2 linked regions of the Notamacropus eugenii genome follow. The protein of the gene in region 2 purifies or fractionates together with the protein of the main gene of each other region. This does not show direct contact. Links are inferred from orthologs where the notes say so. Each region holds a gene or a part of one and is shown on either strand. Other genes may lie near its edges.

Region 1 (7,812 bases), on a different chromosome or scaffold from region 2:
GGTGCCAAAGCCATCTGGCACTGCTCTCAGAACCACACAGTAAATAGAATCTCTGCCCCCACCCCCTCTCCAACTATGTTTCAGCTATTCAAAGAGCATGACTGTCTTCCTCCAAAGATCATCAATCTTGGAGTCACCAGACCCTAGTTCAAAATCTGGTTTTGCCCCTTACTGTAGATGAGCATTTAACCCCTCAGCCCTAGCTTCTGCAGTGAAGTCAAGTAGTTGAGCTAACCTCTGAGGTTCTATAATTACAATGCCAAGGTCTAGGGGCACAGTACCCAGCTCTTCCAGTAAGCCTAAGATCTCAAAGCTTAGGGATTGCCTTTATTAGGCCTGGCTGTCCCCTCTTCAGGTCAGTCTGTGGTAAGGTGAGGAAGAGGGGGCAGGCAGACATGCTTAGGAGAAGAGTATTGTTTTACAATGCACGGGAAATGGAAGGAGCTGGAGACTTGGATCTACAGATGCCAGGGATGGGGGGTGCTAATGACCCAGCAATCCCTAGGTGGGGCTCTTCAGAACACTGGTGCAGAAACAGGTGCATCCTGGTTCCTTTAACGTTTTTTTGGAGGGGATAGCTTCTGAGGCTCCTCTCCCCTCCCCCTACCTCCTCACATACACATTAATCCCTTCACTCCCTATCTGCTTTCCCCTCCTGCTTCCCACCCCCCTCCATGGCATAGGACACAGCAAGATGTGTATACTCTGAATCTCAGTGTCCCTGGGTGGGGACTCCACCAGCCAGTGCACCTTTGAACATGGAGCTTTCAGCTCTAGGGTTCTGACTTCTTCCTCTCTCTCTGTGGGGCCCCTTGCTTGTCCCTACCAGAACCCAGCAGCAGCTAACACCTGCACACTGGGGGAAAGCCTGGGCCCCAAAAGCCCTGGGTTTCATTGCAGCTTTTGTTGCTGTGACCTGGAGTCAGCTACTTCCTCTCTGTGGAATGAGGGCGTTGGAATACCAGCTCTGCAGCTTGTGACCTTGGGCAGGCCCCCCTTTCTGGGCCTCAACTTCTCCATCCATAAAATGAGGAGGTTGGATCAGATGACCTCTGAGGTCCTGGCCAGCTCTAAATCATCTCTAAGTACAGGTGGGCTAGGTGCCAAGCCTAGGAGGTGTGAACTCTCAGGGTCTTAGACAAGTGTTTCCTGATCCATCAGGCCAAGTGGGAGGATCTGGGGGCTGACCCAAATTCTCTCCCTAAGGCTTTGAGGTGGTGTTGAAAGAGAGATGGGTCTAATGGGTCCTTGTAACCCCCCAGTCCTCCCTGGGTGCAGCTCTGGGCAGTCCTCGAAGAGCACACTGGTTTGAAGTCTGAATGGGAATTCTGCCCAAGCTACCTAATTAGCTGGGTGACCTTGGAGAAGCCCCTTGGCCTCTCTGATCTCTATCATCCATCCTGGATGGACATTTAGGGGCACAAACATCCTAAAGGAACCCTGCACGGGGAGGAGAGCAGGGAAACACCAAGGTCAGGGCCAGGGGAAAGGGAAGGAGGGAAACCAGGAGACCCTGGCCCCAGCCTGAGCCGGGGCGGGACAGGACGCTCCCCCAGGCGCCTGGGGCCGGCCCACTGACTTCCTCCTCCTCCTGGCTGAGCTAATCCGTGTTTGCGTGCGCAAGTGTGTACACACACACACACACACACACACACACACACACACACACACACACACACACACACACACCACACACACACACACACGAACAACAAACGGAATGTACACATTGGGTCACGCACGCACGCACACCCGCCGTACGGGCGCCCAGTGTGGCTCCCCTGGCTTCCCACCCGCCCCGCTCGTGGGCCCAAAGGGATGGCTTATGGGGGCTGGGGAGGGGGCGTGCTGCTGCTTCTTCCGCCACTTCCAAGTCTGTCTTCCTGGCCCCACAGTCAGGAACGTCGGACCGCACCTCCCCTTCCACAGCTAGCTAGCCTTTTAACACTGGCGAGGGGCGGGAAGGAATAGACAGACAAACTCTCCTTCCAGGACCTCAACGAGGTCTCCTCTGGCTCAGACTCGGGTGGGGTGGGGGGAGACAAACACTCCACCTTGCCTTCCATCCCCCTACGGTGGGAGGTAGGTGGGACAAGCACCTTCACTTTCAGTTCTCCCAACTTCTGAGAAGTACCTTTAGTCCGGGAGTGGGGAAGACAATCAGACACCCTTCCCCTGCTCCCGACTGGGAACTGGGGGCGATTCTGAAGCCCACCCCCACCCCCTGTACACTCCACACCCCACCCAGCAAGTGCCTCCCAACGCTTCTAGCTCAGTGAACCCCCTTCTCCTCTGAGAAGGGACAGACAACCGAAGAATTCCGATCCTCCCGGCCTCCTACCATGCCTAACCTTCCGGGACGAGAGTAGAACAGACAGACAGGTAGACAATCACACACACACACACACACACACACACACACACACACACACACACACACACACACACACACACACACACACACACACACACACACACGATCCCTGTCCAGCGCTCCCCTCCCAAGCTTCCAGCAACCCAAGATCGGCGAGGGGGCAAAAAGAGGACAGAAAGGGATAGAAGGGGGTCACTGTGGGGTGCAAGGCAACAGCCGGACAGCGGAAAGGCAGACCCAAAGCCCCCCAACCTTGAAGGCCCCCAGGGAGGCGGCCTCGTCCGCGCGTACTCACCCTGGTTCTCCTGCTCTGTCGAGGAGTTTCTCCCTCCTTCCCCTTCTCCCTTCTCCTCTCCTCTCCCTCTCTTTCTCTTCCTCCGCCGTCCTAGGTAGTGGGTCCCCCTTTAGCCTCCAGCCGCCGCCTCCCGGGAGCCGTGCTCCGGGTTAGCACTCGGGCTCGGGCAGCCAAGAGTGGAGGCAGCCTGCTGGCGGGGAGGCGCGAGCGACAGCGGCGAAGGCAGCAATCTGCTGAGTTGTAATGTGAGTTTCCTGGAATTACTCACTCACAGGATTCCTTTCATTCATAAAAACACAGTCATGCGCTGATGTCACCCTTCGCCGCCTCTGTTCCAGCCCCACTACCCCCGGGGGGAGGGACGAGGCGGAGCTGGCTCAGGAGCCCCGCCTGTTTCTTGCCGGCTCGGTGGGAGGGGGAAACAGTGGTCATCTTGGTGAGGGGCACCGCGGAACTGGGGCAAAAGGAGGGAAATACCACACTCAGCTTAAAGAGTCGGGGCGGGAGTGGGCGTGCAGCCTCTTTCATGGACTCCAAGCAGGAGTCACAGCTGAAAGGAGCCTTAAAGATCTAGAACAAGGCCACAGCTTTTATCGGTGGGAACATTCAAAGAAGACACTTGGCCAAGCCCATGGCATCTCAAATGTAGAGCTGACAGGAACCTTTGGATATAGTCCATGTCGGCCTCCGCATCTTTGCAGATGTGGAAACTGAGGCCCAGAGAGTCGAGGCTTCTTTTTTATTTCATTTTATTCTGAATTTGACAAACATCAAATACCATATGCATACAAAGAACAGGAAAAAGAAAGGATCACATGACAGCTTGCTCCTTTCTCCCAACATCGACAAATCCGACAGGTCCTTTTCAAAGCTGTCTGGTTTCTCTGTTTCCTACTGACAAGCCTTCTGTACAGTTGAAGTCCTTGCAACTTGGCTCTTTCCTTACATTTTTCTTCATTTGTTGTAAAACTACTGCCAGACTTTCCCATTATCTAAACCACCCCCATCCAAACTCTCCTTCCAAACTGAAAGAAAAGCAATATGTTTGTGTCAAATATAACTAAGCAACACGAATCTCCATATTGACCAGGTATGTCCCAAAATGTGTCTCATTCTGCACCTTGAGTTCACCACCTCTCTGTCAGAGCATGGACAGCTGGTAAGCATGAGCAAAGTGGGATTTTTTGTTGTTTTTTCTGGAGTTCAGGTTTCTAGGCTGAGGCTAAATTGTAAACATCTGAAGGATTAATCGCCTTTGAACCCTGATAATTCACAGCTGTGCTGAGTCATACACATTTCCATGCCTTCTTGTTGTGAGCTTATCTGGGGTAGAGTCTTTGTTATATATCCTAGGAGGTTGGCATTTTGCTATGGGGGTTTGCTCATGAGAAGGATCTTTTCGTTCCCTGGATGGGACTCTGAGTAGACCTTTGTTAAGAGCCCCACCTCCCCACTAGTCAGATGTTGGTGCTCTCCCATCTGCTGGTGTATGTAGGTGGTTGTATTACTTTTGTTGAAACAGCTGGAGCCCTGTGCGTTGAATCTCTGTGCTAATCCTGCTTGTATTTTCTATACTCACTTCTTTCTACTTAACTGTAATTAAAGTAAGATTGTTCACCCCTTTAAAGTTGTCTTTTCTTTAGAAAAGCAGATCAAAGAACTAGTGCTAGCCGCATCCCCGCCCCCATGTTGTTAATACAGCAGCCTGTTTTTAGTCTCTTTTTTTGATCTGACCCTGGAGGCAAGTGGGGGCCACTGAAGTTTACTGAGTAGCGGAATGATGTGGTCCAATCTATGCTTTAGGAAAATCTCTGGAAGCTGAGTGGAGTTCTGAGATCCTTGCAGCAAGAAAACCAACAAGAAGGTTACTGCAATGATTCAGAGGGGAGGTGATGAGGGTCAACATTAGAGGAGGGAAGGGAGAGACATTGCTAAAATGAAATTGACAGGACTTGGCAGTAGATTGGATGTGGGAGGTAAGAGAGGGACTGAGGAGTTCCAGATGACTCCTAGATTGGGAGAATGAGAGTCATCTGCATGGCAGTGATCATTGAAACCAGGGGATCTGATGAGATCATCAGTCCAAATGGCATAGAAGGAGACTGACCTCGGGTTCTACTCACTGCCCTTTGCCTCTGTTCGTAGAAGTCTTACCAAGTTTCTCTGAAATTATCAGTTTTGATGTTGAAGGAATTTTTCTAAGGCCATACAAGTGGAAGGCAGGCGACCTACCAAAACCACTTGGTTTTCTGTTCATCCCCTCTGTCCTGGATCAAGAGGCAGAATTGTGGACAGAGCAGAGAACTTCTAGCTCCAGAGGCAACCTCAAATGATCAGTTTTAATCGATGAGATTGTAAGGGATGAGAGGGGAGGCTGCTGGTCTTCTTGCACCTTTGTATTCTGTATCAACTGAAGCACAGAGCTCAGGACACAGTTCCTGGGTCTGTAGCTGAAGTGAGAGCTTGATGTATAGAAGGTTGGGAAATTACTTTTTGTGTGTAACTGTACAGCTGAGCACCCTCTGTAACATGTTTGAAGAATTATAGACTGTCAGAGCTGGGAAGGGACCTTGGAATATGGGGGAATAACATTTATACAGCGCCTACTATGTGCCAGGCACATAGTATCTCCTTTGATCTTCACAACAACCCTGGGAGTGAGGTACTGCTAGTATCACCATTTTACAGCAAAGGAATCTGAGGCAGACAGAGGTAAAGTGACTTGCTCAGGGTCAAACAGCTGTTAAGTGTCTGGGGCTAGATTTGAACTCAGATCTTTCTCACTCCAGGTCCAGTACTCTATACACTACAACACCTAACTGCCTCATGGATTACTGGACTTGGGAGAGCTCTTGGAAACATGAATTTTGGAGTTGGGAGGGGCCCTAGAACATAGAACATGGAGTGTCAGAGCTGAGAGAAACTCTGGAACAGAGACTGGCAGTGGTGGGAAGGACCTTAGAACAGTGAATGTGGGAGCCAGAAGGACCTTTAGAACATGTAATATCAGAGTTAGAATGACCCCTCAGAGATCATCTTGTCCAGCTGCATGCTTCTACAGATAAAACTGAAGTGCAAAGAGAGAAAGGTACTAATGCAAGACCATGGAGACAGTTGGAATTTTCTGGCATTAAACATTTAAATTGGTTTTTAAGGCCATTCCAGGGAATGTATCTTTGGGAGCTCCCCTGGAAACTTCCAGGATTTCCAGAGAATGAATGCAATAAATGAGAAAATAAAGTATTTATTAACCACTTAGCTATGTGCTTACTAAGCAACAGGGATAAAACCACCCACTCTGATTGGGAGAGATAACACTTAAGAATCCAGCTCAGAGCAGAGGACAAAAACTTTGGGGTACTCAACAGGTCAGATTACAGTTGCCTGAGGGTCCAAGTAAGTAGACACTGTCTCTATTGAGATGGATATGTTCAGGCTTAACCTCTTGAGTTCAAGAAGTCCTGAATTCTTTGGGTTGGAGCTGAATGGCAGCAAAGGGAAAAGTCTTGGCAACTCTTCCAGAACTCTTTCAGAAAATGGCCACCAAGAAGAGGACTGACCCAAGCCTAGCCATTTTATCAAGGATCAGGAGTTGTTTGGACAGTGACAAGCCAAGGTGAAATGCTACCCCCATAGTGTTACCCTATGTTTTGGCCTAGAATCTGAAAGGAATGAATCCATAAAAGATTGTAGCTGGACCCAGGTACAAACTTGCTTCAGCAGGTCATGTTCTTGGGCCACATGGAGGTCAGGTGGCAGGTAGAAGTACTATCTCCTTGCCCAACCCCACTCTCAGAACAAATTGTGAAAACAGTCCTGCATGATTCAAAACTGAAAAGGAATAGAAGGTCAGGTAGATTTCCTTCAAGTCACCAGTTCCTGTGACTCAGTCAATTAGGGGACTCTCCATCATCTCAAATTTGACCCCTTTTACAATGAGTCATACATGTGGCCAGATGCCAGCCCTGGAGCTCCCACATCAAAGTGGGAAGGGAAGCTCTGAGCATGCTCCATGTTATGGATGGCCTCTGTAGACCCATTCAGTCACCCTCCCTAGCCAGTGTCAATTAAACATTTAAAAAAATGCACAGAAGTGAACAGAAAGAGCCTTAGAGAGAAACACAAACAAGCTTTGAAACTAATGTGTTCAATTTATTTTATAATTTAAAAAAGGCAGAGAAGCAGCAGGATATAATAGATAGGGAGAAAGCATCAAAGTCAGGGGGACCTGGGTTCAAATTCTCTGGTACATCCTGGCTATGTGATGTGGGCAAATCACTGAATCTCTCAGGGCCCAAACAACTCTCTAAGACTCCAAGTCACTGAGACATGCATTGGTGGAGGGAATTTCCTTCCCTGGAATGTCCCCTATGCCCTTGAAATCACACACATACACACAAAAATCACACATACACAAAAAAGGCAAACTGGACCCAGTAGAGAATCATAGCTTCCTCTACAATTCTCTTTCCCTATCTGTCTTTGTAGACCAAAATGTCTCTGTTTGTGGGCATTTGTCAACGATAACAATAAAATTAAAATAAAATTTAAAAACCACTTCACCTCACGTTAGACTCAGCTGTAATGTGCTGGTTTCTTTTTGTGTTAAAATTGCTTCTGATCCCCCTGACCCCCTTCCCTCCCTTTCTAGTCTGTATAATAGGTTTATAAGTAGCTAGTATAAAGGGGGCAAAAGCAGGAAATTAGATTGCAAAGGGGAACCTGGAAGTCACGGAAAACCATCCCAAAGATCAAAGGAGCAAGATTTGCAAATTGTATCATATGTTAGCCAGAATTCACATCCTGGTAATATGTACTAAATCAGAGGAAGCCACCTAGGTACTTTTGTCAGGATCTCCTGGTCCTATGATGTGTAAATCCCAGACAAATCCCAAACCTCCATAGTTCCAGACCGAGGGAACATCCAACTCTGAGATGAAATGGTCATGTTAACTTAAAAGCTTTACCAATAACTTTGAGATGATTTGGATATGTTAATGAGCCAAGCCCAAGGTGGCACAGATAACAGACTCTTGCCCTCTGCCATCTCTGTTGGGTCCATGCTGGCTAGTGCTCCCAACTCTAATCCGTGGTTGATGGATGGTGGATGGCTTTGAAGTCAGTCCTCTTCCCCTCTACCTGT
Region 2 (7,558 bases):
TGTGTGTGTATGCATATACAAAATCATAAACATGATTGCACATCCCAGAGCTTCCAGGTTAAAGAGAATACCAAGATCCCACTGTACTCAAAAGGGATCTTGACAATCTCGCAACAAGATACACCCTTACAAACTGCCTGCACTGTCAAACACAGACCTTAACATCATACAAAATTCCTTGAAAGATTCAAGATGGGTAATTTTGATCAACAACTATCAGTGACCTATTATTACCACCTAAGGTATCTGCCACAATTATAGAGGATGTACAAGAAAGAAATGAAACACAAGATGAAATTTCCTCTTTCCAAGTATTCTTATTTTTATATACCATTGTGATTAAATGAAGCCCTAAAATACTACACAGTCTCCTGAGACCTCTAATCACTCAAAATAGCTGACTGTAATCATGTAGGGAAAGGAAAAGGAAAAGGACAGGAGAAAGGAAAGGAGAAAGGATAGGAGAAAGGACAGGAGAAAAGACAGGACAGGACAGGACAGGACAGGACAGGACAGGACAGGAAAGGAAAGGAAAGGAAAGGAAAGGTTTTCTATTGTCCAGACGGTGGCATGCAGCTGAATGGAAGAAAATCACCTAAATGAGATCCAAAAGCAGAATGATGTTTTTTCCCATTCAAAGCAATACTGGCTTGGTGATACTCTTGTTGAAAGCTATTAGCAACACTATCACTACCACTATTCACCAAGAGAAGAGGAAAAATAGACAGAATTTCCTAAGGAAGCTATTAAAGAGTATGTAGTAGCTATAATTCTGCTCCCAGGTATATCTGGAGCAGTGTGGTAGGCACAGCACAATTTATTTATGAAAAGTCTTGGGAGTGGAAGTGGGGGGTGAAGAGATATGTCACATCTCACTACCCTCATAAAGAGACCAATTTCTTTATTTAAAACACAAAATACTTAAAAAAAAAAAAACAACCCTTCAGATGCTAAAAAAACAAACAGGACAGTTTTTTAAGTGCTGGCAATATAAATTCAAATAGAAAAGACTCTCCTTTCTGATTACATTCTAATTGGGGAAGGCAACACATCAAAAGAAGCTAAAGAGAAGGGGAGAGGCGAGAGAAAGAAGAGGAAAGACAGAGACACAGAATGAGTGAGAAGGTCCAGAAAGCCCAGAGCAGCCTGGAGAGTGATGAAACATGTGTGTGCCTTCCAGGGCTGGAGTAAAGCTTCAGGATGAAGTGCTGTAACTTGGAAGAGGAATTCCAGAACCGCTGCCTAGACAGGAAAAGCTCAGGTTCCAACCATTTGGTCAAAAGCATTACCCTACAAATTTCAGTTATTTCTACAGGTTGGGCACTCTTTCAGTCTGTGGGCTATTAAGTAACCTAGGGCCAGAGCAGCAGTATTTAAATACCAGACTGACACTTTCTGACTTACTTACCAGGAACCACAAAGTTTTAATTGGCCAAATCCTCGGGCACTACAACCACTCACCTCTTCTCTCGCTCCGGTTTGCCTTTTATAGTGGAGCCATGTAAGCCCCAGCTGTTTCTAATTACCTCTCAGGCTCTTCCTGGGTGAATGACTCAGCAACCTGACTTTAAAGGAGCCAAAGTATTTTCTAACACAATCTACGGGTTAACCAATATTGACAATGAAACACGTTGGGTGCTTTTTTTTTTTTTAAAGTAACTTTACCGGATAATAGAGCTAGAAAAGAAACTGAGGCCCCAAAAGAATTAAATAGTTTTGTCCAAGGTCACAAAGAGAGGAAGTCGCAGAGCCATTTTTCTATAAACTCAATTCCTCTTTTTCCAAAGTCAGCACACTTTCCACTGCACCAAGAAGAAAGATGATTTGTTCACAATACTTTCCTACTGCAATCAAGCTTCCTTCTTCAACAGTCCTCCAGATTGCTCCTAAACATGCTGACCTGAGGAAATCCTGTTTTTCTATACCTATATTTCTATATCTAATCCACAGTATTCTATATTTACTATACTATATGTAGTATTACAAGGCTTTTCAGGAAATCCTGCTTTTCTATGTCTATATTTCTATATCTAATCCACAGTATTCTATATTTACTATACTATATGTACTACTATAAGACTTAACAGGAAATCCCGTTTTTCTACATCGAGCAGTCCCTACGTATTGATCATCAATCAGTCCGATGAGGAGCATTATTTGCCACCAATCTGTCCCTACATGTGCCGCTTATAGCTTTTAGTTACTCGGCGTTACATTAAAATTGCGCGATCCCACCGCGAGAGAGATCAGTGCACAACACGGGCATTCACATTTTCTTTGGAAATCGCGGGATTTCCGAGGGCTCCCACGACGACTTTTCCACGCCGCGGGCCCGGCCCGGCCCAAACTTAGATGTCTTACGAGCACGGGCCATTACCTCTCGGCACCAAGCGCTCCCCAACGCCGCCCGCCCAGCCCGACGCTCCCCAGACGAACGCCGAGGGAGCTGACAGAGTGATTTTTACTACATGAGTAAGTTGTGATGCATCCGAGTTGTGGATTCCCGGAAAAAGAGGACCTTCAGATAAACGGAAGGCGGCCGCACGTTTGCGGGGAACCCCGCGTCTCACACCCCACTTCCATCGGAGGGGCGGATCCTTCGGGGGGGCGAGGGGCTTCTAAGGACATTTTGAATGCTCACAGGTTTAAAAACACATTTCAAACCGACGGATTTACGCCGGGGCGGAAAGTCAAGCCGCCCACGGCCTGGGCACCAGGGCACCCCCCAAAAGACCGGGCTAAGGGCAGAGCCCAGCGGGGGGGCGCGGGGACCAAAGGGCGCCCAGGCCGCCCGCTCCTCCCCCGCCCCTGCTGCGCGCGCCCCTCCCCCAAGGGCGCAGACCCACCGGCCTCCCCACTCCGCTCTACTCACCCCCGACTGCTACACGGGGCCCGGGGTCGGGGGGTGGGGGCCGTCGCTTCCCGCGGACGAACAGGGACGCGGATATTCGGGAGACGGGGTCAGAATCTACGGGCGAGTGACCGAGCCCCAGAAGGAAAGCGATCAGGTGACTGTTTGTCTCTCAGTTCTTTCTCTCCTCTCACCGGCCCCCCCCAGCCCCGCCTCTCCCCTCCTCGGCCTGGCTCGCGGTCCCGCCCCCTTTCGTTCTCGCTAACGATTGGCCCGCGAGGCCTGTTGGAACACGTCAGTCCCGGCCCCTGGAAAAGCGGCTGGTAGGAAGAAAAGAAGGGGTGGAGTTCGGGGCTGGGAAGGAGCGGGGCTCTCGGAACGGGCGAGCCCTTCTCTCTATTGTGGTCCTTGCCCCTGCCTGAGGGCTTGTGTGTAGGACTATGAATTAAGAAACGAAACGAGAAGTTAAAAGGCCAGAAGAACGCATGATTTCCAGGGAAAAGAGAGAGGAGGTGGAGAAGGAATGGCCAGCTTTCCTGGCCCTTAACTCACCCTATAGCATTATTTGCTTAAAGTGGAAAAGGAACCTAAGTTGTGGAACCAATCAATCCGTATCTCACGGATTTATACTCTTAAAAACTGAAGCCTGACATTCGGGACTGAGAAGCCTGGCAAAAGGCACTAATGAAATGATTAGACCCTGCTTCCTCCCTGGCTGGTCTGAACAAGGAAGACACGCGTATCTGCCCACAGGTGACTTCAACGTGTGACTAGCGGAGGAGTAAAAATTATTTCCAAGGAGGAGAAAATAGGGAAAGACCGTCTTTAAAACCTCCCCGTTTTCTACTTAAGAAAAATCACATTGGGGAAAGTAAAACGGATAATGAATGGAACACTGGAAGAGGCTGCAAATCCTAGAAGACAATCCCCAAAGAATCAAATGTACAGGTAACCCAAAGGGTAATTAATGGCATTGATACAGTGTCTTTTAGTTTGCAGAAGAGACAAACTCAGAACGGTTAATGACTTGTGGATGGTCTTATAGCTATAAGTATCAGAGGCAGAAATGAAACTTACATCTTCTGGGCTCTAGGTTCAACATGCTTTCCAGTACAGCCCTGGTGCCTCTGAAAGATGCTTGGCTACCAACCAAAATGAACAGGTTCCAAAAACTGCCACTTTGGATGAATGAGATGATGCCAAGCGGTGACGAAGAGAAGGCAGAGCTCTTCAGATTTTTCTGAGTGATTCTCGGATTAAAGGACAAAATAAGATATCCGTGTAGATATTAAGGAAATTGTAAGGGAGCCCTAGTTGCTGGTAATGAATTGAAGTCACCTAGTCCAGGTAAAACTATATCACCAGGCGTTTCCTTCTCAGAGGTTAAGTGACTTGCCCCCATCACACAGCTAATTCATGTCCAAATCCAGATTTGAACTCAAATCTTTCTGACTCTGGGCCCCACTGTCTATCCACTGAACCACCTTGCTCAGGAGGACAGCACCTCTGGCATGAGGGTTTGCAGAGCCTTTATCAGGACTGCTTTCCACCTTTGCTGTCTACCTGATTCACCCAATTCCTACTTGTGGCTCCAAGAAGCTGCAGCATCTGCGGCAGCCACACCTAAATAAACCTCATGGGAAGACAGACCCAACCAGATTAAAGGTACCCATCATGAGTTAAGGGGATGTCCCCCCCCCCCAAGCCTGTGAAGACTTCCCTTGGCACAGTGGAAGGATGAAAACAATTTGCTCCAAAGTCCATGAAGGTGGCTGAAGCAAGCATCATGGAATGGTTAGAGCTTGGTTAGATATTGAAGATGCCAAGGCCATCACCAGTCATCTTGACTTTGTCTTGCTACTAGACTCCAAAGATTGTGGAAGAGAAAGTGAGGCTGACTGCTTTGTGCAGCTCTGCCTCTCTTAAATCCAATTTATCCACAAGTCAAGATACCATCTATGATATCAGTGGTCCTCTTCAGAAATGAAGGACAAACAGTATCCTCAGGCATATGTGATTTCTAGACCAGTTTAAGTTCATTGTTGAATGTTAGTGATGGAATCCTAATAAAGATAGGTCCCACTGCCCCTACCTAGCCATTACTCTCCCGTCTCAATATCCTAACTTCCTCATATAGGGCTCACTGCTCACTAGAATAACAAGTATGTCCATGAACTCTTATTTCCCACAGAAACAGCAGGCATATCCATGTAATGGAATCCCAGCCACTGCCTCTAGCTAGCCACTGTCCCCAGAACCATTCCTCATATTTCCCATAGAAACAGCACATATGTCCATGCACTGTACCACAGTCACATCCATCTAGGACCACAGTACTCAGCCAATCAGAAAGAAACACCATCAGGATGCCCAAGCAGGATGTAGACCCCAAAACAATAGCAGGGACTTTCCTTAAGTAGGTACCTTTGTTTTACATTTTCTTGATTTTTCATAAAATTATTAGCTTCCATCTGCTCCATTCTAATCTTTAAAGAATCATTTTCCATCTGGCCAGTTCTGTTTTTTAAGACATTCTTCTCCTTTGGCTTTTTGGATCTCTTCTGTCATTTGGGTTAGTCTATTTTTTTCAGTGTTATTTTCTTCAGCATTTTTTGGGGTCTCCTTTAGCAAGCAGTTGACTCGTTTTTCATGATTTTCTTGCATCATTCTTATTTTTCTTCCCAATTTTTGCTCTACTTTTCTTACTTGATTTTCAAAATCCTTTTGGAGCTCTTCCATGGGCTGAGACCAATTCACATTTTTCTTGTGGAGGCTTTAGGTGTAGGCGCTTTGACTTTGTTGTCTTCTGTTTCTATATTTTGTTCTTCCTTGTCACCAAAGTAAGATTCTATATAGTCTGATTCTTTTTCCAATTTTTGCTCATTTCCCCAGCCATTTACTTGACTTTTAAGATCTTTGTCAAGGTAGTTTTCTGTTCCAGTGCGGGGAGGGAAGGTACTGTCAGCCACTGGATCCTCTGCAATCTGTGGGCCTAGAACTCCAGAAATCGCTGCTGCTGCTGTCCCTGCCCCTGCTGCAGCTGGGCCTGGGGTCGGACCACTCTGTTCTCTCACACAGGTCCCACAGGTTTTTCCTACTGACCTTCTAATTTGTCCTTGGTGTTTTGGGGTTTTGAAGTCTGGAAACCACCACAGGTGCCCAAGATTCAGTCCTCTCCCTCCCAGGCCTGCTCAGGTCACATCTGTGCCAGGGTGGCCCACCCTGTATTGCGCTCTGCTCCCAGCCCAGCTTGATAGATGCTTCCCATCCACCTTCCAGGTTGTCTTGGGCTGGAGATTTGCTTCACTCCATCATTCTGTGGGTTCTGCAACTCCAGAATTTGTTTAGAGTCATTTTTTTACAGGTATTTGGCTGGACTTGGGGGAAGAGCTGTAGCAAGTCTGTGCTTTTACTCTGCCATCTTGGCTTTACCCCCTGACCAAGTAGGCACCTTTGAAGCAATAGCAAAAGCTGTCCCTTAGGCAAATTCCCTTACCATTACAGATGGTTCTACCACAACACATCATGAAACTGTAACATTAGGAATACTGAAACTAGAAGAAAAATTTCAGTGAAATCAATGTGTAATCTTTTTTAGTATACATGTAGTACTGCCAGTAATTTACCGCCAGCTTTATATCATACTTACTGATATATGGGCAACAGCCATGCTTATCCATTGGATCATGCTTTGGTGTCTCAGAAAATGAGAAGAAGGATTTAAATACTCAAAGCCAGCACATCTTACAGCTTAGAAAATATATTGCCAAATATACTGTACTTGGAGGGAGCTAAGTGGCTCAGTGGATAGAGCACTGGGCTTGGAGTCAGAAAGACACTGGAGAACCTAGAAGTGGCAATGGACAGCAAGAAGCATTTCAACTCTTCCACTTGGATTCGTTAATCAAGGGGAATGAGTGAAAATATGACTAGGGTACTGGATCTGGGAAGGTGTGTCATTAGGAGACAGCCAGGTCTCAGTCAGTGAGAGCCAAAATATGGAAAGAATGGGAAAGGAAAAGATTTGCACTGAAGCAAGTTTATTGCATATGGGATAAATAAACATTATAGAGGACATGCTGGAAAGGATGTGTATTCTGTTTTTTTTTTTTTAAGTTTAATTTTCTCATTTATTTTTTCTAATTAATTTGTTTTCAGTTTTCAGCAATCACATTCATAAGTTTTAAATTTTCTCCTCCTCCTTACTCCCTCCCTCTCCACAACAGCATGTAATCTACTCAAGTATCTTTGCCAAGAAAACCTCATGGACAGTATTGGTGTGTTATCGTCCACAGGATCACAAAGAGTTGAAAATGACTGTACAACCATCCTGTTCCTGGTTTACAATAAAAGATTATTGGCCACAAGGAATGTAACTCATGTTTTAACTCATGTTTTACCATGCCCATGGGGAGCAGAGTCTTGGGAGAGGCCACTGACATTCTTATGAGGACAGACTTACTCAATTCACTGTGGATCGCTTTCATTGGACAACAATAGGTCCCTGCCCTGCCAAAGCACCACTAATGGCTATATTTTGGACCCTCCTGGCCCAGAGTGAATGTCCATGGTAATTGTTTCTCTTTTGGCCAGCAACCCTGAGGGTCTTTCCCTCCCAGTTTGATTTTTTTTTTTTTATTAAAAGGTCCATCCCTTGATTCACTTCTTAAAGAGTCCTATTCACTGAATGGAAGTTGCCTCACTCAG

What was found.
Region 1: the proteins of BACH1 (region 2) and MAFF purify together in Homo sapiens (affinity purification with mass spectrometry; 3 studies listed by BioGRID and IntAct, counting the BioPlex papers as one, with this or other methods). This does not show direct contact. The link is inferred for Notamacropus eugenii from reciprocal best matches to the Homo sapiens genes BACH1 and MAFF.

The regions. Positions count from the first base shown.
Region 1 is NC_092874.1:295,667,139-295,674,950, reverse strand, and holds the start of MAFF (transcription factor MafF), read right to left. Parts: upstream 3,015-7,812; 5' UTR 2,670-3,014; intron 1-2,669. UniProt on the Homo sapiens protein: Since they lack a putative transactivation domain, the small Mafs behave as transcriptional repressors when they dimerize among themselves.
Region 2 is NC_092876.1:414,480,183-414,487,740, reverse strand, and holds the start of BACH1 (transcription regulator protein BACH1), read right to left. Parts: upstream 3,006-7,558; 5' UTR 2,873-3,005; intron 1-2,872. UniProt on the Homo sapiens protein: Transcriptional regulator that acts as a repressor or activator, depending on the context. Binds to NF-E2 DNA binding sites. Plays important roles in coordinating transcription activation and repression by MAFK.